Linked DNA regions of Elephas maximus indicus. The protein of the gene in region 1 purifies or fractionates together with the protein of each later gene. This does not show direct contact. Links are inferred from orthologs where the notes say so. Each region holds a gene or a part of one and is shown on either strand. Other genes may lie near its edges. The genes, in order: SRPK1, DROSHA and TOP2A.

What was found.
Region 2: the proteins of SRPK1 (region 1) and DROSHA purify together in Homo sapiens (affinity purification with mass spectrometry; 3 studies listed by BioGRID and IntAct, counting the BioPlex papers as one, with this or other methods). This does not show direct contact. The link is inferred for Elephas maximus indicus from reciprocal best matches to the Homo sapiens genes SRPK1 and DROSHA.
Region 3: the proteins of SRPK1 (region 1) and TOP2A fractionate together in Homo sapiens (co-fractionation; 3 studies listed by BioGRID and IntAct, with this or other methods). This does not show direct contact. The link is inferred for Elephas maximus indicus from reciprocal best matches to the Homo sapiens genes SRPK1 and TOP2A.

Annotation. Positions count from the first base shown.
Region 1 is NC_064819.1:99,573,743-99,581,121, forward strand, and holds the start of SRPK1 (SRSF protein kinase 1), read right to left. Parts: upstream 3,011-7,379; 5' UTR 2,996-3,010; coding exon 2,394-2,995; intron 1-2,393. UniProt on the Homo sapiens protein: Serine/arginine-rich protein-specific kinase which specifically phosphorylates its substrates at serine residues located in regions rich in arginine/serine dipeptides, known as RS domains and is involved in the phosphorylation of SR splicing factors and the regulation of splicing.
Region 2 is NC_064820.1:36,627,679-36,635,324, forward strand, and holds the start of DROSHA (ribonuclease 3), read right to left. Parts: upstream 3,014-7,646; 5' UTR 2,938-3,013; exon of another isoform or gene 2,934-2,937; intron 467-2,933; 5' UTR 423-466; coding exon 403-422; intron 1-402. Other genes in the region: C2H5orf22 (UPF0489 protein C5orf22 homolog), read left to right, coding at 3,331-3,411, 4,648-4,793, 7,145-7,294. UniProt on the Homo sapiens protein: Ribonuclease III double-stranded (ds) RNA-specific endoribonuclease that is involved in the initial step of microRNA (miRNA) biogenesis.
Region 3 is NC_064837.1:47,551,320-47,558,848, forward strand, and holds the start of TOP2A (DNA topoisomerase 2-alpha), read right to left. Parts: upstream 3,054-7,529; 5' UTR 2,940-3,053; coding exon 2,919-2,939; intron 2,123-2,918; coding exon 1,967-2,122; intron 1,757-1,966; coding exon 1,666-1,756; intron 1,374-1,665; coding exon 1,310-1,373; intron 1-1,309. UniProt on the Homo sapiens protein: Key decatenating enzyme that alters DNA topology by binding to two double-stranded DNA molecules, generating a double-stranded break in one of the strands, passing the intact strand through the broken strand, and religating the broken strand.

The DNA.
Region 1 (7,379 bases):
ACAGAAAAGTGGTAAGACTGTGCCCAGTCAAAGTTGGAAAACTTGTAATACCCAGAAAACAAGGCAGTCCCATGGAATTTGGCTCTTACAGGTTTTATTTTACTTCCAAAATTCTTCATTTAAATGCTTGCTTTTTGTATCTTTAGGTCCTCATCAATTTTCATTATAACTAAGCTACCAGTTATAATATGTGAGACTGTTTCCTTAAGTGACTTGTCCAAGGTCAGACTGCTAAAAAGTGGCAAAACCAGAGTTCAAGATTTAGACAGGTCTCACTCCAAAGACCAAACTTTATGGCATGTTCCTTCCCCAGACCCTCTCCCTGACTAATCGCTGGTAACCAGCAGCTTTCATTTGTAAAATGACTGGAAGTCATCAGGAGTGCATGGAACAGAGTCAAGTTACATAAGCCTGGTGGGACTTGAACTTCTGACTTTATAGCACTCTAACCAAGTTAATTAATAATTTCAGCTACTTAAATGGAGGCTGGAGAAAAAAAAGTCAAAATTATAAAGAAAACTACTACTTGAAAACAAATTAAAAACAACTAATTACAAGTCAACGGGGCAGTTTATTCACATATACTTTCAGGAGTCAAACTTGTGCAAGATGAAATATTCAGTAAAATGACTACTAGATTATCTGTACTAGTCCCTTCCTTTTGTGCAAGTATGGAAATAATTAAGAACACAAATAACAGTAGGTTACTGATGCTCGTGAATGAAGAAGTAACAGATAATCCAAAATTCATCTATTTGGCTTTAAAAATAAAGTATATGATCTAAATAGATAATCCAAAGTAATGAAAGTCTGGTGTTAAAAATAAAGTTTATGATCATCTATGTACATTTACCTCCCTAATTATAGTCTGATTTAGGCTAAAATAAAGATTAATTCCCTAGTAGTAAGAGAGTCCAGGACAGATAACTTCTAAATAACAGTGAATAATAAAATCACAACCTCTCTACACAAGTAGAAAACAAAACTTTTTATAATACGTTCCTATCAGACCCACAAAGAACAGCAAAACTAAAGCATGGAAAAAAAGAGCAACTTATCTAAATTTCCACTGCACACTAGAATTGGGTTAAGTCCTTACTCTTCTCATTAAACCGATCTAGGATTAACCACTGATTGTGAACAATGCATATATGGATAATCGAGTGGTAAATATATTCACATATATATAAACTCATGCTTAAATGCCCTGGTCAACAAGTGCATTGCAAAATAAAAAATTTCCTAAGACAGATAACGAATGGAGCAAGAGGTGAGATCACCTACATTTTAGCACTACTGAAAAATAAGTCATTATGTACACACACACACACACGGTCTGGTATTGTCATTCAGTAGGGTAACCTAGGAAGGCCTTTGAAATGTGTTTGATCAGCACAGAAAGAATCAGACTACCTAAAAACCAGAAATGCAAAGAAAGTCACAAGACATCGAGTAAATGGCAAAGTGTCAAGAACATAATGCAGCTACAACTAAGAATTAGATGGAGAATACAAGTTATCTAAAAGCTGGTTTCCAAGACCTTTTCCAATGAAATATTAGTACACGTAAAAGTTCTTCAGACTAAGCCTGACTTGCAGAAGCCCTCTATCGGGTGCTTCTAGTAGGCTGTGACCAACTTTGTGTTTCCCACAATAGCGCTAAACCACTGTGACGCATCCTGCGGATAAAACTGGACATGTGGCACTTAATACACCAAACCAGAATCACCTACAGTGTCAGTTAGCTCAAGAGCCTTCCCATCACTATGTGAGGGCCCCTCCAGAGGGTATCTGCATTCCGTGTGAGGTTCAGAGAGAACAGATGCTACCTGTGTACACAAAGTGGTCTGCCTGCACACCGCAAGGACCGAGATGCGCCTTGCAGGCTCAGGAAGTTGACTAGCCAGGAGAAAGCTTCATGCCCTCTATGAAAGGGAGCGTGTGGTTGGCAGAACCAAAAGTAAACATGGAAAATTCATTCAAGAATTTCCTGACGGCCTACTGTGCTGACGTTGGAGGCAAGTTAAGACGCTGGGAAGCAGGTACTGAAAACAGTCCAGAGTCCACAAATAGCCTAATAATGATCTACCAGTTCCAGGTGGGAGGCCCAAGCTACAGGAGGTTGTGCCTTCCTCTCTGGAGTTGTGTCCCAGGAGGGCTCTGCTCCCTCCAGTGGCCTGTCCTGCAGGCCTTGGGCTGCTCAGGCCAGACCCAGGCCTGCTGTTCAGAAAGACAAGCTCCTTTCCACACCGGAGAGCGACCCTCCAAGGCCGCTCCGAGGCCATGTGGCTAGGGCCGCAGGGTGCCCAAACCCGGCGCAGGTTCAAGATAGGAAACTAGACAGGAGATGCCGGAGGCAATCCAAAGAATGGGTTGTTGGGGTACAAGACTCACTTCCTTTGGGCTTTGTCCTTCTTGGCCTTGGTCCTTTTCTTTCGGGCCTGGAGCGCAAGCACTGCAGGAGAGAGGGATTGATGAAGGGCGAATGTGGAGGGAAGGAGGCGACCAAGGTGAGGGTGGAGACCTAGCAGGGCTGCCAGGCCCGGCTGCGGGGCCTGCCTCGGGGACGGCTCCGGGGCGAGAGCCGCGGCTTCAGCGAGGCGGTCGGCCGGGGGGCGGGCGGCCCACGGGGCGCAGAGCAGCGACCAGGCGGAAGGCGCCGGAGGGGGCTTGGGCCGGTTAAGGGGGCCGGCAGGCTTGGGTCTGCCTCGCCCGCCGAGGGCCGGGCCCCGCGGTGACCACAAGGCTCCGGCCGGCCTGGCGGGGAACAAGGGGCGATGACGGCCGGCGCGGGCGGACGCCCCGGTTGGGGGGCGCGGACCGGCAGCCCAGCAGCGGGGGGTGAGGGGCGTCGCCACCTCAGTGGAGGGGCGCCGCACGCCCGGGGACTCAACCACGGCGGTTAGGCGCAGCTGCGGGCTCTGACCCGGGCCTCGCCCTGGAGGCCGTTGCCCCTCGTGGCGAAGGCCGCTCCACTGCTCACCTTTCCGCTCCATGGCGAGACCGGTAACCGCCAGGCGCCTGCGCACTCGAGCGGCGGCGACTCCGGCTCCCGCCGCGGCCCAAAATCGAGCCCGCGCCCACCCCGCCCCCAGTCCCCGCCCCCGTCCCCGCCCCGTCCCCGCCTCACGTCGCCACGCGCCTGCGTATTGAGCGTGGATTCTACCACCTGCTCCTGAGAAAGGGGGGGCAGTCGGGAGTGGGAGGAGGAAGGGAAAAGGGAGCTCCGGGTTTGAGCGCTAAAGAGGTGTTTGCCACCTAGGCTTGAAAGCTCGGCCGGGTCCGGTTCGTTTGCCGAGAGGGGTTAGGAAAGGCGCAGAGGAGCGCGGCCTTGAGGATTCCCTGCGTGCTGAGTCAGAGCTCCGCAGTCAACTGGGGTGTGCCTCAGTTTCCTGGTGTGTAAAATGGAATTAATCAGACGTGTCCCAGTTCTTTCGCTGACCTATTGTAGGGGCCAGTTGAGATACTATTTAAAGAAAATGGGGGCGGGGGAGGGAATTACATGTGAGAAAGAACAGGAAGTGGGAACACAAAAGAAAGACTGAAAGGAAGTTACCTGTGACCTATTGTAACCTAAAGAACGGAAACTTAAAAAGTGAATTTTTTCTTAAATTTTTAAAGTTTAAATGAAGGCTGTAAAAGGAAAGAAAGCGATGGCAGAACAAAAACGTTTAATGTTTTCTCATTTTACCACTTTCTGTCTTTTCAGTACATTGTAAACAGACTTGTCTTTCATTTATAGTTTTATACTGTCTCAAATGCATTATCTTATTTGATGTTCATGACAACTTGTAAGGCAAGATACTTAATACTGCCACTACACAAAGAAACTAAGACTTATAATCTCGGTATCCTGACCAAATGACTCAGTCATCAAACCCTTATTGTAAAGCAGATCACAAAGTTTTTCTGTAAAGGATCATATAGTAAACGTTTAGGTTTTGCACACCATGAGACCTCTTTCTCAACTACCCAACTCTACCACTGGAACTCAAAAGCTGTCGTAGAAAATATAGGCTGGCTTTATTTATGGGTACTGAAATAGGAATTTCATGTAATTTTCACATCATAGGAAATGTTATCCTTCCTTTGATCTTTTTTTCAACCATTCTTAGCTCTAGTCCTTAATTTGTCAACACTTATTGTGAAGTATTACATGCAGGTGCATGAAGACCCTTGACCTAAAAGAAGTTAGACTCTAATGAGGAAAGATAGACAAATCAATTGACTGTGAGAAAGGAAGTTGAAACTAAGTGCTATACCAAAAACCCATTGCTGCCAAGTGGATTCTGACTGATAGCAACCCTACAGAACAGAGCAGAACTGCCCCATAGGGTTTCCAAGGAGCAGCTGGTGGATTTGAACTGCCAACCTTTTGGTTAGCAGTAGCTCTTAACCACTGGGCCACCAGGGCTCCAAACTCATTGCTTTCCAGTCAATTCCAACTCATAGCGACCCTATAGGACAGAGTAGATCTGCTCCACAGACCACAGTACAGCACAAATCAAGTGTGGGGGCTTGGGCAGCACTTACTAAGCAAAATAAGTAATTCAGTCCAGCCGGGGGGAGGCAGTTTTTGAGCTGGGTCTTGGGAAATGTGTCAGGTTTCCATAGCTGGAAAAGGACATGTCAGACATTACTGGCTGAGAAAATCGATTGAGCAAAAAGATAGACTTGGAAGCTTGTGGGCAGGGCCTGTAGCATGTAATGACTAAAGGGCTAAATTGGAAGGTGAGGCTGGACAATACATCTGCCAAATTTGAAACTTAGATAATTAATATCTGTTGCATAGAACCTGCATGATAGCATTTCTGGGCATATTCCCAAGACCCAGCTCAAAAGCTGCCTCCTCCCTGGCTGGACTAAATTACTTATTTTTTTCAGTAAGTCCCACCCAAGCCTGCACACTTGATTTGTGCTTGATTTTTTATAGTACCTGTTGACCAAGGAACACTGCAGCCCCATCTCCTCATCATCCTAAACTGAGGACAAAAGAAGAGTAAGGGCGCTTCAGACAGGGATTGGACTGGACTATGGGATAGAAAATTATACTGGTGAAGAGTGAGCTTCTCGGATCAAGTAGACACATGAGACTATGTGGGTAGCTCCTGTCTGGAGGGGAGGTAAGAGGGCAGAGGGGGACAGAAGCTAGCCAAATGGACACGAAAATAGAGAGTGGGGAGAGGTAGTGTACTGTCTCATTAGGGGGAGAGCAACTGGGAGTATATAGCAAGGTGGATATAAATGTTTGTATGAGACACTGATTTGATTTGTAAACTTCCACTTAAAGCACAATTAAAAAAAAAAAAAAAAAGGAGAGTAAGGACAGAAGGTGAAGCCCTGGAGCCTGAGGACTCTGATAACCCAGGAAAACTACATGTGGCTCAGAAAAGACAGGAGAGAGCTGGTGACTGAGGAAAAGTCCCAAATCAGGAAAGCACTACCCACCAGAATGTAAACTTCATGAGGATAGGAGCTCTGTTTTTGCCTTGGTATATTCCCAGCGCCTAGTACAGTGTCTGGTACTTATTAGCCCAAATATTTGTCTAATCAAAGAATAAATGAAAATTTTCTCCAAAGCATCCGTGTGGAAACACCTAGCAAATATTGGGGAATTCAGATCTGTAGTTTATGAGAAAGATCAAGACAAGAGAGAGAGACACAACCTGAGAGCCGTGCTAAAATCCAGGTGGGTTACGGCGGGATCCGGTCATACCTGTTCTGATTCTGAGTGACTATTACTTCTCTCTCTAAAAGCTTACAAACCATCTGTTTAATAACTCACTTGAGAATTTTTCCAGAATAAATGTAAAGTTCGATGGACTGAGTTCCAAGAATTGATCATTTTTTTGTCTTTTTTTTTTTCCTGCTTATCTTCATCCTCTTAGCATACTTCCAGCTCTCCACACTTTCTAAGATCTCTTCAATTGTTCGCATAAGCAAGTTTTTCCCCTCCTACTGTAAAACCATCCATTCCTTTGTGCTTCTTGCTTTAAAATGTAGTTTTAAAAATCACTTCTGGGTTTTACCTTTCCAGAATTTTACCCTTCTTAAAGGTGGTGGCCATCAGTCTCAGCTACTGGCACACTCCCTCTCCCCCAAATGCTTTTCTGCGAGTCCTTTTAAATGTGGAATTATTCAGAGAGCATGAGCAGTTGTATTTTTGGCTACTCACTGTCATTGTCAGAATTTAATGTCTGAAAAGATCCCATTCTTCTTGAACTTAACTTACTTTTTAAGACTGTCCTAGGAGCTTCCTTAATTCTTCTTTGGAATTTTTGAAATCTGATTTTCTGAAGTTTAGGACACGTTTCATTACGCAACATTCCCTGCCTTGCTTATCACAAACTTATACTTTGTCCAAAGTATTGATCCAAATCCAAAGTAGCGCTTCCCTTTTGGCTTCCCCTACGTTTTTCAGGATGAAATGGACAACAGAAGACAGTCAAAGATTAATCAGGTGCTTTATTTCAAATAAAATAAGATTCCCAGTAAAAAAAAAAAAAAAAAAAAGTAGATGTTTGCAAAATTGGAGAACACCAACGGAACTCTATCCTGTCGTCATGTGGGATAGTTATATGAAGTATATTGTTGTTGTTCTTAGGTGCCGTATGCTTGGTGAAGTATATTAGGAAAATATAATAACATTCTGTTCTTGAGTATCAGGAAACGCATGGCACACACAAAGGATAATTGAAGAGAGTTTAATGAAGGGACTACCAGTATGCACAGAGGTGTGGATAGTGTTAAGGGGAACCAACAAGGGAAGGTGAGGCATCTGGGGACAAACAACAGCTGGGAGTCTTTACCACCCCTAAGACTAAAACAACAAGGGGATCGAGGGGACCCTTTACCAGAACCCAGTGAGAGGTGTAGCTTTAAGAAACGGCTGCTTGACAGCAGCTGTGCCCTTTGATAAAGGGACATAACCATGGCCCAGCAGGGAAATAAATACCCAGCTGTTATAGACTGAATTGTGTCCCCCAAAAAATACGTCTTGTAAATCCTAACCCCTATATCTGTGAAGAAGGATCGCTGGTGGTGCAGTGGTTAAAGCACTCGGCTCCAAGCCGGTCAGCGCTTAAAATCCCACCAGTCACTTCATGGGAGAAAGACATAGCAGTCCACTTCCATGAAGATTACAGCCTTGGAAACCCTATGGGGTGATTCAACTCTGTCCTATAGGGTCGCTATGAGCATGAATCAACTAGATGGCAAGGGCAATTGGTATACCTGTGGATGTAATCCCATTTGGGGAATAGGTTTTTCTTTGTTGTGTTAATAAGGCCATATCAAGGTAGGGTGTGTCCTGAAGCCTACTTACTTTTGAGATATAAAAGGGCAGATTAGGCCCTGAGAAGCATAAATGGAGGGAAAGAC
Region 2 (7,646 bases), on another chromosome or scaffold:
TTTGAATTCATTCATTTCACACCACCATCTCTTATCTGGCTACTACAATAACATCTTTGCTGGCCTTTCCACAACTACCATCAATGCCCTCAAGGCCTTCCCTGCTCTCAAGATACTCTACTTCTTCTCGGAATTCCTACAATAATGGAATCTACCAACTAATTATGTAATTCTATCTTTAAAGTCAGGCTGCACCTCAGGACTGCAAGTCCTGTCAGGGCAGGGATCCAGGATATCTCATTAACTGGTCTGGTTGGGTTCCTAGCCATGTACATGGCCCATTGCTGAAAGAATGAACACATTTCCCTTGCTCCGCACATGTTCAAATCCATTCAACCTACTATGGCTCAGCTCCGGCGTTTGCTCCTCTCTGCATTCTTTCAAGCTACTGCCATTACTCACCATGTATTGCCTTGCATCATGATGTACTGCCTGGATATTCACATCTTCCACAGTGATATAAACTCTAAGGGACAAAAAGAATAAAACACACATATAAGTGTGCTACAAACTGCCACCGTCACTCATCTGTCAGCTTGTTGTACCGTAGTGGCTTGCATGTTGCTGTGATGCTGGAAGCTATGCCACCAGTGTTTCAAATACCAGCAGGGTCACCCATGGTGGACAAGTTTCAGCAGAACTTCCAAACTAAGAAAGATAGGAAGAAGGATCTTACAATCTACTTCTGAAAAGACTGGCCAGTAAAAACCTTATGAACAGTAGCGGAACACTGTCTGATACAATGCCAGAAGATGAACCCCTGAGGTTGGAAGGCACACAAAACACAACTGGGGAAGAGCTGCCACTCAAAGTAGAATCGCCCTTAATGACAGGGATGGGAGTAAAACTTCTGGGACCTTCATTTGCCGATGTGGCATATCTCAAAATGAGAAGAAACAGCTGCAAATATCCAATAATAATCAGAATGTGGAATTTACAAAGTATGAATCTAAGAAAATTGTAAGTCATCAAAAATTAATTGGAACACACAAAGATCAATATCATAGGCATTCCTGAGCTGAAATTGACTGATATTGGCCATTTTGATCTGAACAATCATATGCATTACCATGCCAGGAATGACAACTTGAAGAAGAATAGTGTCCCATTTATCATCAAACAGAATATTTCAAGATGTACCCTAAAGTACAACGCTGTCAGTGATAGGAAGATATCCACATGCCTACAAGGAAGATCAGTTAATACGACTATTATTCAAATTTACACACCAACCACTAAGGCCAGAGATGAAGAAATTGAAGATTTTTACCAACTTTTGCAGTCTGAAATTGATCAAACATGCAATCAAGATACACTGATAATTACAGGTGACTGGAATGTCAAAGTTGGACAATAAGAATTGGTAGTTGGAAAACATAGCCTAGGTGATAGAAACAACACCAGAGATCACATGATAGAATTTTTTAAGACCAACAACTTTATTGCAAGTACCTTTTTTAAACAACATAAACAGCAACTATACTGGAGCTTGCTGGGTGGAATGCAGAGGAATCAACTCAACTACATCTATGGAAAGAGACGATGGAAAAGCTCAATATCATGAGTCAGAAGAAGGCGGAACACATCAATTGCTCATTTACAAATAGAAGTTGAAGCTGAAGAAAATTAAAACAAGTCCATGAGAGCCAAAATATGACCTGCGGTATATCCCACCTGAATTTAGAGACCATGTCCAGAGTAGATTTGACACACTGAACACTAATGACCGAAGACCAGACGAATTGTGGGATGACAAGGACCTCGAACATGAAGAAAACAAAAGGTTATTAAAAAGACAGGAAAGAAAGAAAAGACCAAAATGGATGTTAAAAGAGACTCTGAAACTGAAGAAATGATGACATAAAAGAGCTGAACAGGTTTCAAAGGGCAGCTGGAAACACAAAATAAAGTATAATGAAATACCCAAAGACCTGGAGTTAGAAAACCAAAAAGAAAGAACATGATTGGCATTTCTCAAGCTGAAAGAACTGAAGAAAAATTCAAGTCTCGAGTTGCAGTACTGAAGGATTCTAGCGAAAAAATGAACAACACAGGAAGTATCAAAAGAAAATAGAAGGAATACAAGTCACTGTACCAAAAGGAAATGTTCAACCATTTCGGGAGGTAGCACATGATCAAGAACTAACAGTACCGAAGGAAAAGGTCCAAACTGCACTGAAGGCACTGGCAAAAAACATGGCTCCAGGAATTAACTGAGATGTTTGAACAAACCGATGCAGCACTGGAGGTGCAGACATTCTTTACTGTTGTTGTTAGGTGCAGTCAAGTCGGTTCCGAATCATAGCGACTGTATGTACAACAGAACGAAACACTGTCCAGTCCTGTGCAAATGTTAACTCAAAAGTCAAGGAATTCCCTGCAAGTGGAAAAGTCAATATTTTCTGCATCTGCCTACTCTTGGGTTGCTGTTCGCAAGCAGAGAACTGAGGGAGGTGTTTTGAATAGTTAACACGTCTAAGAACATCACTCTAGATTAAAAAAAAAAAAAATTGCAAAGGGTGACTATATTTTCTTAAGAAATTTCTGTTTCCCAGCTGAACCATCAGGCTGGTCATTTTCACCCCGCTGCTCGGTAACTCGAGTTTCCCTGTTTGCAATCTCCCGCCAGACTGGGAACCCCAAGAGGCAAAGCGCGGGGCTCAAGTCCCGCTCCCCGCCAAGACCCGGGCGACCCCAGGCCTGGCCCACAGCCTGCGGTCCATAAATGAATGAAAGCTCTCATAGTTCACTTCCATTCATATGTGAGATCCGGGCCTCGGGTTGCTTTGTGGCCCTCACTACACACCTAAAGAGGTGCTGCCAGACCCCAACTTCCAGGCGCCTTTCTTCCCCAGCCGGGGACTCCGGCCCCGTTTTAATCTGGACACTCAGAAACACGCCCTCTTCCAACACCCACACGGCGCCCCTTTTACCTACAAAAGGCTCTCGGGCCGCAGGGTCGCCGTCTGATAAATGCCACTGTTACACTGCAGCCGCCAAGGCGGTGTGGCCGCCGCGCCTCCGGAACAGGAAACCGACGGAATTAAATACCAACCCTGAGCAAGCTGGGCCAAGGGAGGGAAACTCTTCTGCTCGCCGCAACGCTCGGGCGCGGTGATTGGTGCGTCAGCAAGAGCAATGGCCATTTCAGCCAATCGCCCAAGTCCGTCCCTCCGGCGCCCGCCCTCCCTCCTCTCTGTCCTCCAATCCGGAACCGCAACCGGGTGAGCGCGCGTTTCCGCCGGAGACGGCGGCAGCGGTCGCGGCTCGGGCTTTCCCAGGTCCTCGCCCAGCGGCACTGGCCCCCGGGAACCCTGACGCCGCGAGAACATGAGTGACTCCGCGGGAGAATGCGTTCGCCTCCGGCGCTACTCCGAGCTCCCGGTGTGGGTGGTGGAGGATCATCAGGAGGTGAGCGGGCGGCCGCCGCGCGCTTGGGGACAGGACCGCCCGTGCACTGGAGCTCTGGGGACAAGTGCAAGGCAGAGCCTTAGCACTGAAGGTGGAGAGATGACCTTCGGGTTCTGTGGCTGTGGGGAAAGACACTAAAGCAGCTGACTTGAAAGAATAGGAGTTGGCGTTTATCACGGGCTCCCACAGCCAAACACTGGTGTCCCCGGGATTCGAACCCTGACAGCCTGATTGCAGAGCCTGGTGTTCTCATCCTGCACATTAACGCTGGCTTCTGGGGAACTCCCTCCGGCTTCTCCATCCCGGTCCTGCTGTTTAGGGGAGGCGCTATGCCAAGGACGTGGGTCTCAGTCTAACGTGTTGAATCAATGCGATGGTCCAAACCCTGTGCATACATTCATCATCTGTGAAACAGGGACGATAATCGTACCATTCCTGGGGCTATTAGGAGTATTATCGTATGCATATTGTGTACATACATCTCTTGATACGGTGCGTGGCGTATATAAACACAAAAAATGGTAACTTTTATGGCTTTGCTACTTTAGCTAAAATAGTGCCTTAATCTGGATTCCTGGAAGCCTAATAAAGTGGCGATGGATCTAAGATATGTTTCCAAGGTCAGCATTAATAGGCTTTGGGGGTTCTCTGGACATGAAAGGTTATCTGGATTTGTGGATGGAGGAGTTAGAGACGAGGAAGGAATTTGGATTTCTCAGGACCAAGACATAGTGTCTAGGAGCCTAAGAGAGAAACTGGGTTAGGCTGTACTTTCAACTTCCGTTTTCAACCTAGAACTACAGAAAATGTAAAAGGAGAAAGAACCTGACAGACCACCTAGCCCCTCCTCACCATCCTAAAGGAACGGAAAAAACAGGGTAGCTTGAACACAGTTAATGTCAGAACTCAGAATTAACTAGCAGTTTGTTCCTGAGCCCCAGTCCTGGTCTGTCTCCCCACATTACCTGTTGAACTTGAGGTGGTGGCTAGATGGCAGCTAGAGCTGTTCGTCAAGCCTTTGGAGGCATAAGCTGAAAGTTCTCAGGAAAAAATAAGCCTTGAGATAGTTTCCCCAATCATCTATAGTAAACTAATTTTGTATTTCCCCATTTATTAACAGCTCGTTTGCTGTTAGCAAACTATGCAGTTATGTTTAGCATTATTTTCAATTTGCAGTTGAATATGTGCTCATGATTTCAGTGCCAATTCTGAATATATGCGTGTGTGTCTTTACAGGTTCTGCCTTTTATATACCGTGCCATTGGTTCAAAGCATCTTCCTGCCAGTAATATATGTTTTGTACATTTTGACTCCCATCCAGACCTCCTTATTCCTGTGAATATGCCTGCAGACACTGTGTTTGACAAGGAAACACTCTTTGGGTAATATGTGATGTTTGTTAATGACCTTTTATGCACTTCAAATATAACCGACCTGATAAGTGGTGATTTTAGCTGCCATTGATGTGGCCTCCGACTCATGATGACCCTATGCACAACAGAACAAAATGCTGCCTGATCCTCTGCGATCCCCAGAATCAAACCATTGTGATCTGTAGGGTTTTCATTGGCTGATTTTCAGAAGTAGATCACCAGGCCTTTCTTCCTAGTGTGTCTCAGCCTGAAAGCTCCACTGAAACCTGTTCAACATCGTAGCAACACGTAAGCTTCCACCATGGATAGATGGATGATGACTGTGCACGAGGCGCATTGGCTGGGAATCGAACCTAGGTTTCCCGCACATAAGGCAAGAATTAAGGAAAATAGACTTTGCTGAGCTCCTGGATTTTGTTTTTGTTGTACTTGCCTTTTTGGTTTTATTTAGAACAGTGTGAGCAGACTTTTCTTAAAGAGGCAAATAGTAAATATTTTAGGCTTGCTAGCCATGTAGTCTCTGTTGCAGCTGTTTATCTCTGCCCTCGTAATGCAAAAGCCGCCAAAGACACTTTAAACAAATGACTGTGGCTGTAATTCAGTACAACTTTATTTACAAAAACAGGTAGCCCAGCCAAAGTTTGCCGACCCTTGATTTAGAATATATAATTTTAGAAGTAGACATTATCTGAGCCAGTTCTCCCTCCCTTTTAAAAGTCAGGATACCAAGGTACAAGAAAGCATATCTTATCTAAACGCATAGTTCAATAATTGTATAAGCAACACGTTTTTTAATTTTTTATACTCTTCCTCCCAGGATTGAGCCCTTTCTACTTCTCAGTTTGTTTTTCAGGTTACAGATCCTTTTGACATTCAGTTATATAGAACCATAGAGATGGACGTAAACTTCGTAGTTTGCACTCCATTCTTCAGGAAGGATCACACCTAAAAACTACTTACTAGCCTCGCTTCTGTAAATAAAGTTCCCTGAGATTCTGTCAGCATCTTTCATGTATATAATTATAGAAAGTAATCTGCTTATATAATATAAAAAGTAGCAGTAATGTTGCAGTGTTATAAAATTAAAAGATAAATGCTTGAGTGAGTTAATTTTGCTACTGCTATATTTCTTTTAGTTGACTTCCCAAAACTCCAATTTGGAGTGTAATTCCTAAAGAAATTTAGCTATACCCATTGTCATTGCTTTCTTATATGTTTGGAGGTTTTACATTTTAGAAATTCAAGGAAGAATTCTGAGGCAGGTACGCAGAACTGTATGCTTAGTCTTAGAATAATGGTTCTTAAACTTTTGGGCCTTAGGACCCTTTTACACCCTTAAAAATTATTGAGCTCTTTAAATAGAGGTTTTATCAGTATTTACCATATTTCAAATTAAAACTTAGAAAATGTTAAAGCATTAATTCATATCAAAATAACAATAATAAACCCACTGCATGTTAACACATATATATTTTCATGAAAAATAAAGATATTTTCTAGAACCAAAAAATTTAATGAGAAGACTGGCATTGTTTACATTTTTGAAGATCTCTTTAATGTCTGCCTTTATAGAAGACAGCTGGATTTTCATGGACTTCCACATTAAATCTGTTGCCTAAGTTGTTAGGGTACGAGTATATGAGGAAAATTTAGACTCTCACAGATGGTGTGACTAGAAAGAGTATTTTCATACCCTTTTTGGTAATTGTGAATATTCTTCGGCGCTACACCAAACTTAACAAGCAGTAGTTTCTTAAAGGTTACTTGGAATGTAGACTCCAACAACCGAGACTCGAGTCTAAATAACCATAATTGTCAGTCAGTTCTTTCAAGAAAAAATGATGTTTAGCTCACAAGTCAATCACACAAGTGCTTTTCCTTGAGGCAGCCATTGTACTTCAAGGTATGTAGCAGAAGTGCTTTATGTGCCCTTCCAGTTTTGCCACACAGAATACTTAAAAGTTTATACTTCAAGGATCAAGATTTCATAAAATCATCAAGAACACTCTTAAGAAAAACTGGCTGTTTTGTTGTTGTAAGTGTTTAGTAGGGAAGAATATGATGGCTGCTGGCAGACTTTGGTGCCACCGCCTTGGTCAATCTTAAGATAGTAACCCACCATTGCTTTTGCACCATCAATGTAAACATCAATACAGTGCAAAGGGCAAATGATAGTATCATGAAAGTAGTTTTGACCTAGTGGACGCTCTGAAAAGGTCTCAGGGGACCTCTCTCCCCAACCCCCAAGCATTCTCAGACACACTTTAATACCTGTTACCTTAAAATATTTTCATAGAGAAAATTTTTTTTTTTAAAGTACACATTATTAGTTTTAATGTTTCTTTCTATTTCATTTTCAGAGAATTAAGTATTGAGAATTGGATCATGCCTGCAGTTTATGCCGGCCATTTTTCTCATGTAATATGGCTTCACCCCACATGGGCTCAGCAAATTAAAGAGGGCAAACATCACTTTTTAGTAGGCAAAGACACGTCCACCACAACAATCAGGTAATTTTCTCATTTTTATGAGTATTAGATTGGTTGAATGCTTTTATTTTATTTTGGATCCCTACAATTACCTCCAAAGTGTCTCTCCATGCAATTGGGATCAGAATAAGCCTCAACTCCTCCAAAAAGTTCTCGAAACACCAGAAACAGTCCCTGGAGCACCTTCGTACACCGCTTGTATTTTGTTGCTGGTCAAGTTAGTTTTTTAATAACATGATCTTCATTTTCTGGAATTCTGATTCCATTGATGACTAACTCCATTAGATCATTGATGTTATATATTCAGTGATATATTTTGCTTTTTCCTCCTGATGTCACCGCTGTTTGCTAAGTTTAACAATTAGCAGTGAAA
Region 3 (7,529 bases), on another chromosome or scaffold:
ATGTTTTAAAATATGAAATTTTTAAATGTTAGCATAAACAAAGGGAAATGATTTATTCCAAATGGAAAAAAAAAAAAAGACAAAAGTTGGAAACAATATTATTTTACTGATTTTAAGAGGATCACCTGTACTCTAGTTCCTTTAGCGTTCTCACTGTTATGGATTGAACTGTGTTGTGTCCCCCTCAAATCCTAACCTCTATGCCTGTGGTTATAATCCCACCTGGGAATGGGTTGTCTTTGTATGTTAATGAGACAGGATTAGTATAACGTAACTTGACTCAATCTCTTTTGAGATATTAAGAGATCAAACAAGCAAGCTAGAGAAGCAGAGATGGTGGAAGATTGATGCTCCAAAGAACCAGGAAACAAGCTAAATGGACAAGAACCTTCCCCAAGAGCTGACAGAGAGAAAGCCTATGCCTAGAGCCTGTGCTCTGAATTGGGACTTCTAACCTCCTAAACTGTGAGAAAATAAATTTGTTTGTTAAAGCCATCCATTTGTGGTATTCCTATTATAGCAGCACTACATATCTAAGACATACACCCAAAAAGTCACAGTGCAAAACAAATATAAAAGGGAAAAACATTATCAATCATAAATGAGACTTCTTACCAATAAAATGCTGAAAAGTTGGACTTACTATTATTTTAGGTTAACTCTCAGAAGACAGGATATATTTTCGTTATAACTGGCACACACTATGATTCTTATTTTAAATAAGACATAATATTACCTATAAGAGACCAAAACTAGCTCAATTAACATTTTCTGAAAGACAATCATCAGGTTCCTGGGAGTATCCAAGTACTTCATCATTAACACTTACAAAAAGAGCCTAAGGTGTAGTTTACTTCACAAGTGACCAGGCTAATAAAAAGGTAAAACAAGTACCCTGACCACCCACTAAGGGACACCCAGCATTTATACCTATTCTCTACCACCATCTGCTGGTTCATTATTTGAATAGCATCATGAAGAAAAGTTAAAACTCTAGGCTTCAGAATACTTAGAGAAATTATTTACTGGAGATGCTTGCTAAAGTATTTAGGGCTGAAGTGTCATGATATCTGCAATTTATTTTGAAATGATTCAAAAAATATATATATAGATGGAGTAAATATGACAAAATGTCAATAACTGTTGGATCTAGGTGGTGGGTACTGTAGGTGTTCATTTTAATGTTCTGATTTTTTTTGCAAAGTTTTTATTTAAAAAAAAAAGCCAACTTCACTAGCAGCCAAAGTAAATGCAACTAGGAATAACACTAACAATTTGATATAACAAAAGACTAAGCAAAAAGACATACGGGTCAATTGTGACTCTGATACAAGACATTTTTGGGTCCCTTTGCTTGTTGTCCGCAGCATTGACTGAAAGACAATAAAATACACATTTGTAAGAAAAGTATTTTTTGAAAACATTCTTTAACATGTAGAAAAAATTTCCCAAATAGCACAGGAGTAGCATTAACAAGGTGTTAATTTAGCAATTTTTGTCCACAGTACTGTTTCTAGAAAAGAATTCAATTTCCTGGGCTCCAGGAGACGGCCCCATTTTTTCCAACTATTCAAAATCACAGGAGCTCTGGAACAAAGGGTTTGATAGGAATGATACCTGTGAAAGATCTGACTTATAAATCTTTAGGTGAAAAAATTTACTCACCTAGAATCTCATCAAAGATTTTGTATAAACCAGGAACAAAAGTGACTTCCCTGTAGTTAATGCCAATATCTTCATCGTAAACCCACATTTGCTAGAAATAAGGCAAAAAAATATATAGTTATTTTTATTCTTTATTCTGCTTTACCATCATGATTACCATAGCCTTCTGGATTAACACTACAATAGATGTATGACCGCTAAGGCCAGTTCCAGTGACAAACTACGTGAGATATAGAAAGTTAATCTGCGAAAGAACACATTTTAACGACTAAATAACTGCTTTTCATTAGCTTGATTTTACCTGGGTCACTAATTCCACAGAGCCAATGTAGGTGTCCGGGCGGAGCAAAATATGTTCCAATTGCGTTTTCTTTTGATAGATTCTTTCGATAGACAGTCTTTTCTTAGCATCTTCATTTTTCTTTATTTTGTTGATTTGCATATTTTCATTCACAGGCTAGCAATTTCAAACAATGGGAGAAAAGGAATTTTTAATCATTGATTTATCAGAAACTATGAACAAAAAATCTCCATCATAACGATACACTTAAACCCACTATAACAAATTGCAAACTTCTAGCAGGCATTGGTGGAGTTCAGTTTTGTACCAAAACGGCCATTACAGTTAACTGCAGCCAGCGTCAATTTCAATAAACATACGTATTATCTCACCAGGTGCATCTGAAGGGAAACATTTTCCTTGAACACTGCCTTAGGTCATCACTAAAATCCACCCACTTCGTTCAGCTACACAAATATTTACTGAGTTCCCCTCCCACCGTGTCGGGTCTGCCGGCTCCTCGGATGGGGAACCCCGTGCCATCCTCAGCATCTTCCCAGATCAGCGACATTCAACCCCATTTTCCACAGAGGGGAGAGAGGAAAGCATGGATGCGCTACTTGACGCCACACGCAGACCACTAGAGTACAGATCTACCACAGACCGAAATGAATGCGGTCCCTAGAAGCAGTCTAAAACACAACACTCCCCCCGGAAGCCCGTTTAGCCGGTAGTACTTCAATACTAGCACTACAAAGGGGGCTCGCCCTACTCACCATCACCCAGAGCCCAGGGAGTGGGGCTCCACAGGGAATATGGGCTCCCTACCCTTCAGGGAGCTCTAATGGAGAGCCGGGGCTCTCCGCCCGCCGCGGGGCCGCACCGCGGCCCAGAAGCCCTCACCCCTCACGGGTCGCCAGAGATGCCCGAACCGCGCTGAGGCTCCACGACCGGGCCCCTCCGCGAGCTGTACCTGCAGTGGTGACACCTCCATGGTGACGATCGTGAAGGGGCTCGAGAACCCTGGAAGCGACTAAACCGGCGGAAGCCACGAGACGACCGGGAACCACCAGATCACTTCTCCACAGATCCGCGTCGGTTAGGAGAGCGCACCTTGCCCCATTTGAACCTTCCTTTAGCCCGCCCAAATCGGATAAGCCAGTCCCTGACTCTCTCTCTCCGGCTCTGTCGAGAACAACCAATCGTCACTGGTCTTTCATATTCACCTATGAACGGCGGAGTTGTTTGAGGGCCTGTTCGAATGAACCAATTAGACAAGGGAGGCGGGACTAGAGGGTTTCAAAAAGGCACCACTCCAAGTCGTTATCGGAGAGACAGACAGGGAATCTGGTCAATGAGGAGAAGTCATTTTTTCCTCTCGGCGCGGAAAACTCCGTAGAGACGAGGTGTGGAAGGTGGAAGGCGTTTTTTGAGGTTCCGGCTCAGAGCGAAAAGAAAGGAGAACGTGAAGGCTGTTTATTTTCTGGGAATCACTAACCTATTCAGAGCCCCTAAATCTAAAAACCGTCCAGAGATTGTTAGCGAGAGAAATAGGGATTTTAGCACCATTTTCCTGAGGAAACTAAGCGCGGGGTTTCAGGACAGGCAGTCCAGTGGTTTGGTTAAGCGAACAAGTTCTGGAGCCTGCCTCAACCTCCCCTCCCCCCAGGAATTTAATTGCAAAGAAACGAGTGTGCTATCCTTGTGGCTTTTAGTTTCCCTAACAGAAGATTGTAAAGAGGCCATGCAAAATAGAGGACAGCCTTCAAGTCCCCCACTAGTGCAGCGCCGGACTGCAACCGATAAATAAGAAGATTGGAATAAATCACCGCCAGTCTCGCAGAGATATGTTTTAAATTTAGGGGTCGTTCTGGAACTGAAATCTTTTCCTTAGACTGCCAGTAGGATGCCCTAGTACTTGTTACTTTTGCTGTCCTCAGAATTCAATTCTGCAGTGCAGAGCTGGCGTTCAAATTTGACTAGGAAATGCCAAATTGATAACGAATTCTGACTTATAAATTAAATGGTTGGATTTATACTTTCTTCGTCAATCCAGAGTTAAAAAAGAACCCCCCCCCCATTGTTTTTGCCCTTACAAGTTGTTAGAAAAAAATACCGCACAATTAGGATGATTACTAATTACATCTGAGCCAACTCCTTCCGATTATTTCTCCCTTAGTAATAATCTGCAATTTGCCAGTCGTGTGATGATGGAGGAAGCTTGCCGGTCCTTCAGTTTCCTTTGCTAAAAAGGGGAATAATATTACCTCAGAGTTGTGTGAAGATTACATGAGATAAATGTGAGGCGTTTAGAATAGTAGACTAACAACATCAAAATGAGAAGCAGGAATTATCCTTAGGCTGGCATGACAATTTGTGGATTTAATTCTTTTTTTTTTTCATTGTAAAAGAAACCAGAGGCCGACCATTGTTAAACAAAGCCAGCATCCAATGTTTACTCTGCTGGCAAAGCCCAAGGAGGAGGGACACTTCGGGGGGTGGGGGTGGGGGTGGGGAGCAATGTGTTAGGAAGCGAAGGATAGAAGTAGCCCACAGGGCTAGGATGATTGAGAAAGCCAGAAGTAGCCCACAGGGCTAGGATGATTGAGAAAGCCAAGGAATGGAGCTGTGGAGTTCCTCTAATCCTATTTTTTTTTCCTGACCTCTAATGGGTCCCTGGAGGCACAGTGGTTAGAGTGCTCAGCTGTTAACTGAGAGGTTGGTGGTTCAAGCCTACCAGCCACTCCACAGGAGAAAGATGTGGCACTCTGCTTCCACTAAGATTTAGTCTTGGAAACCCTATGGGGGGGCGGTTCTACTCTATCCTCTGGGGTCACTATGAGTTGGAATCAACTTGGTGGCAATGGGTTTGTTGTTGTTTTTGCCTGACTTCTAGGAGTTTCTACTTTCAGCTCTGTGTTGATCTGGGAAGACAACCTTGCTGCACAGGGACCACCAGAATTTCAGAGCAGTTGTAGAGAAGCCCATCCAGTAGCTTCTGCCCAGAAAGCTGGCCAGACCCTGGCTCAGGGGCAGAGTGCCACTCTTTGCAGTTTCTCTAGGACTCAGGATGGCCCGGCCGGTCAGAGACCAGCCATGCTGCCTTCTGACTCCTGGAACACAGAGGCCCCAAGAGGGTGGGGGTGGACGGTCATGTAGGAGAATAAGGAGGGAGAAGTTACCGTGCTTCCCCAAGGATGGCAGTCTAGCCTCTGCCACTCCTGGCCTCTACATTGTAGCTCATGCCATCTGTGGCTGAGGCAACAGTTCTACCCTTTTTTCTGGGGTACAGTTTAAAGTCTCCCCTGAAGCCTAATCTGATACTGACTGTGTGAGTTTCAGTTCCAGAAACCCAGAAACAGAACTGTGGAGCCAAAATGACTTTGGAGTAAAGTCCTGTGTCAGAATTTTCCCTGAATCTCAGTTTCCCCATGTCATTATCAAAGGTACAGATGGCTGAATGAGATAGAGAAACACTTAGGATAACCCTCCTCCCTCCTGCTAGCCCAGGATGGTCTTGCTTTGGACACTTTCTCCCCCAGTCCCTCTTCTTCTTTCTGGGCCCAAGCTGTTTCTCTGCCAGCCCTGTCTCCTTCCCAGAACTTACTGCAGAGGGTCTTGCAGGATTTGGCAGCAGCATTTGAAGAAGGAGATAGAAGTCTGGGAAGAGTGGGCTTGGGAAGCATTGCCCACAAAGAGGCAATTCCAGGTACCTGTCAGCTGCTGGCCCTGAGAGGCAAAAAAGGAGGGGGAGTCAGTTCCAGGAGGCCATGGTGGGGGTAGGGGGCAGAAGAGCCTTTACTTAAGACTCCTGGGGGCCAGAGGAGGGAGCTAGCCTGCAAAGGAAGAGGGTGGGAATGGGACTGAGGGGTGAGCTCTCCATCCCATTTTTCCTCATTGCCCCAAAGTCAGAGACAGCCCAAGGGAGACCAGGCCTTCTCTGAACATACTAAGAGGGCACCTTCCCCAACACCTTTTCTTTCTTTCAGTTCCCCAATCTCAGATCTTCTGCCATTAGTGGGATGGGAGGCCAAGACTAACCGGGTCCAGGATGGGAGCTGAGAGTGAGGTGGGGGTAGGGTGGGTGAGGCACTCTTACATTGACATGTCTCATCTGAGCTCCGCAGAGAGGTGGGAGCCAGGCTAAGTCCATCCTCTGGAAGCAGAGACAGGGCAGTCATGGGGTACCTCTGTAGACACCCTCCTACTTCTGCCACCTGGGAGCTACCTGGAGCTAGAAGGTGTCGGGTTGGTGGTACTGGAGGTACTAGGGGTAGCAGAAAGCAGAGAACGGAGTATCCCCTTCTGTCAGAGCACTTTGAAAGAGATGGAGCATGTGAAGGAATGAGGAGAATGGCAGGGTATGCCACTGGCTTAAGTCTTGAGCAAACAGAAGAGAGAAGAGAGTATGGGGAGGCATCTGGAATTATTTATCCAGAGAGAAGAAAGACATTTTCATAGGATTCACTGACATATAAGAAGAGACACATTCAAGATCACATAATTCTGGGTATATTAGGTGTTGTACTACTCACACTGCCTCCTCAAAGCCAAGAGTGGGAGGTGAGATTAGCAAGGCATATTTGGGGATGTTGTTTTGGGGGGGAAAAGGAGGTGGAAGAGAAAGAGGGAGGAATGGCCATAAAGTAGGCGAGCAATGGCCTGGGGACACTGGCCTCTTCTGCCCTCACAGAGACCTACCTCAGTGTAGATCACCTTTTTATTTTGGCTGGGGGCTCCAGGAAGCCCCTCCAAGCCTCTCTCACCAGGCAAGCCTGAGACACAAGCAGGGGTAGGGTGGGGTGTGAGGTGGGGTAGAATAGAGGCTCAGTGAACCAACAAGTATTACTGTGCATCTATTATGCACCAGTCTGAGACCACACAGGGAGTTGTAGGGCATAGTGTCTTACATGTGAGCAGCGTTTGTTGTGGGAAGGGCATAGGGAAGGATGAGGGGGCATGGCTAAAGAAAAGGAGGAAGGGAGAGACTGAAGGAGTAAAGGAAAGGAAAGGTGCATCTGTCAATGTCTAGTAACCTTGGTGGCATAGTGGTTAAGTGCTACAGCTGCTAACCAAAAGGTCGGCCGTTCAAATCCTTGGAAACCCTATGGGGCAGTTCTACTCTGTCCTATTGGGTCGCTATGACTATGAGTTGGAATCAACTTGATGGTAACAGGTTTGGTTTTTAGTAACTCACCTTCTAGTTGTGGCGACGGGTGACCTAGAGAAAGGATGGCTACAAAGCTCAATGATAAGTGAGAGGTCCCCAAAAAGAGTTAAAAAAGAGTGTAGAGGGAGGTCTCAGGAGGGCTCGAAATAGGGAACTGGAGGGCAGAGGAGAGGGCTGGCAGGGTGGGAGGCCTCTTCTTCCCTGTGGATTTGGCTGGCCTCATTGTCCTGGAGGAGACTCTGACCCAGGAGGCCCCACTGGTTCCTGAATTCCAGGGATCCCTGAGAGCTCACCTGGGCCTGGCAGCCTTGGAGGGACAGGGTAGCCCTGGAGTCCAGGAAGGCCTGATGTTTCTGGGGTTCCTGGGAACCTTTCAATCCCTGGGTATCCAGGGTTGTCTTGAGAGCCCTTCAT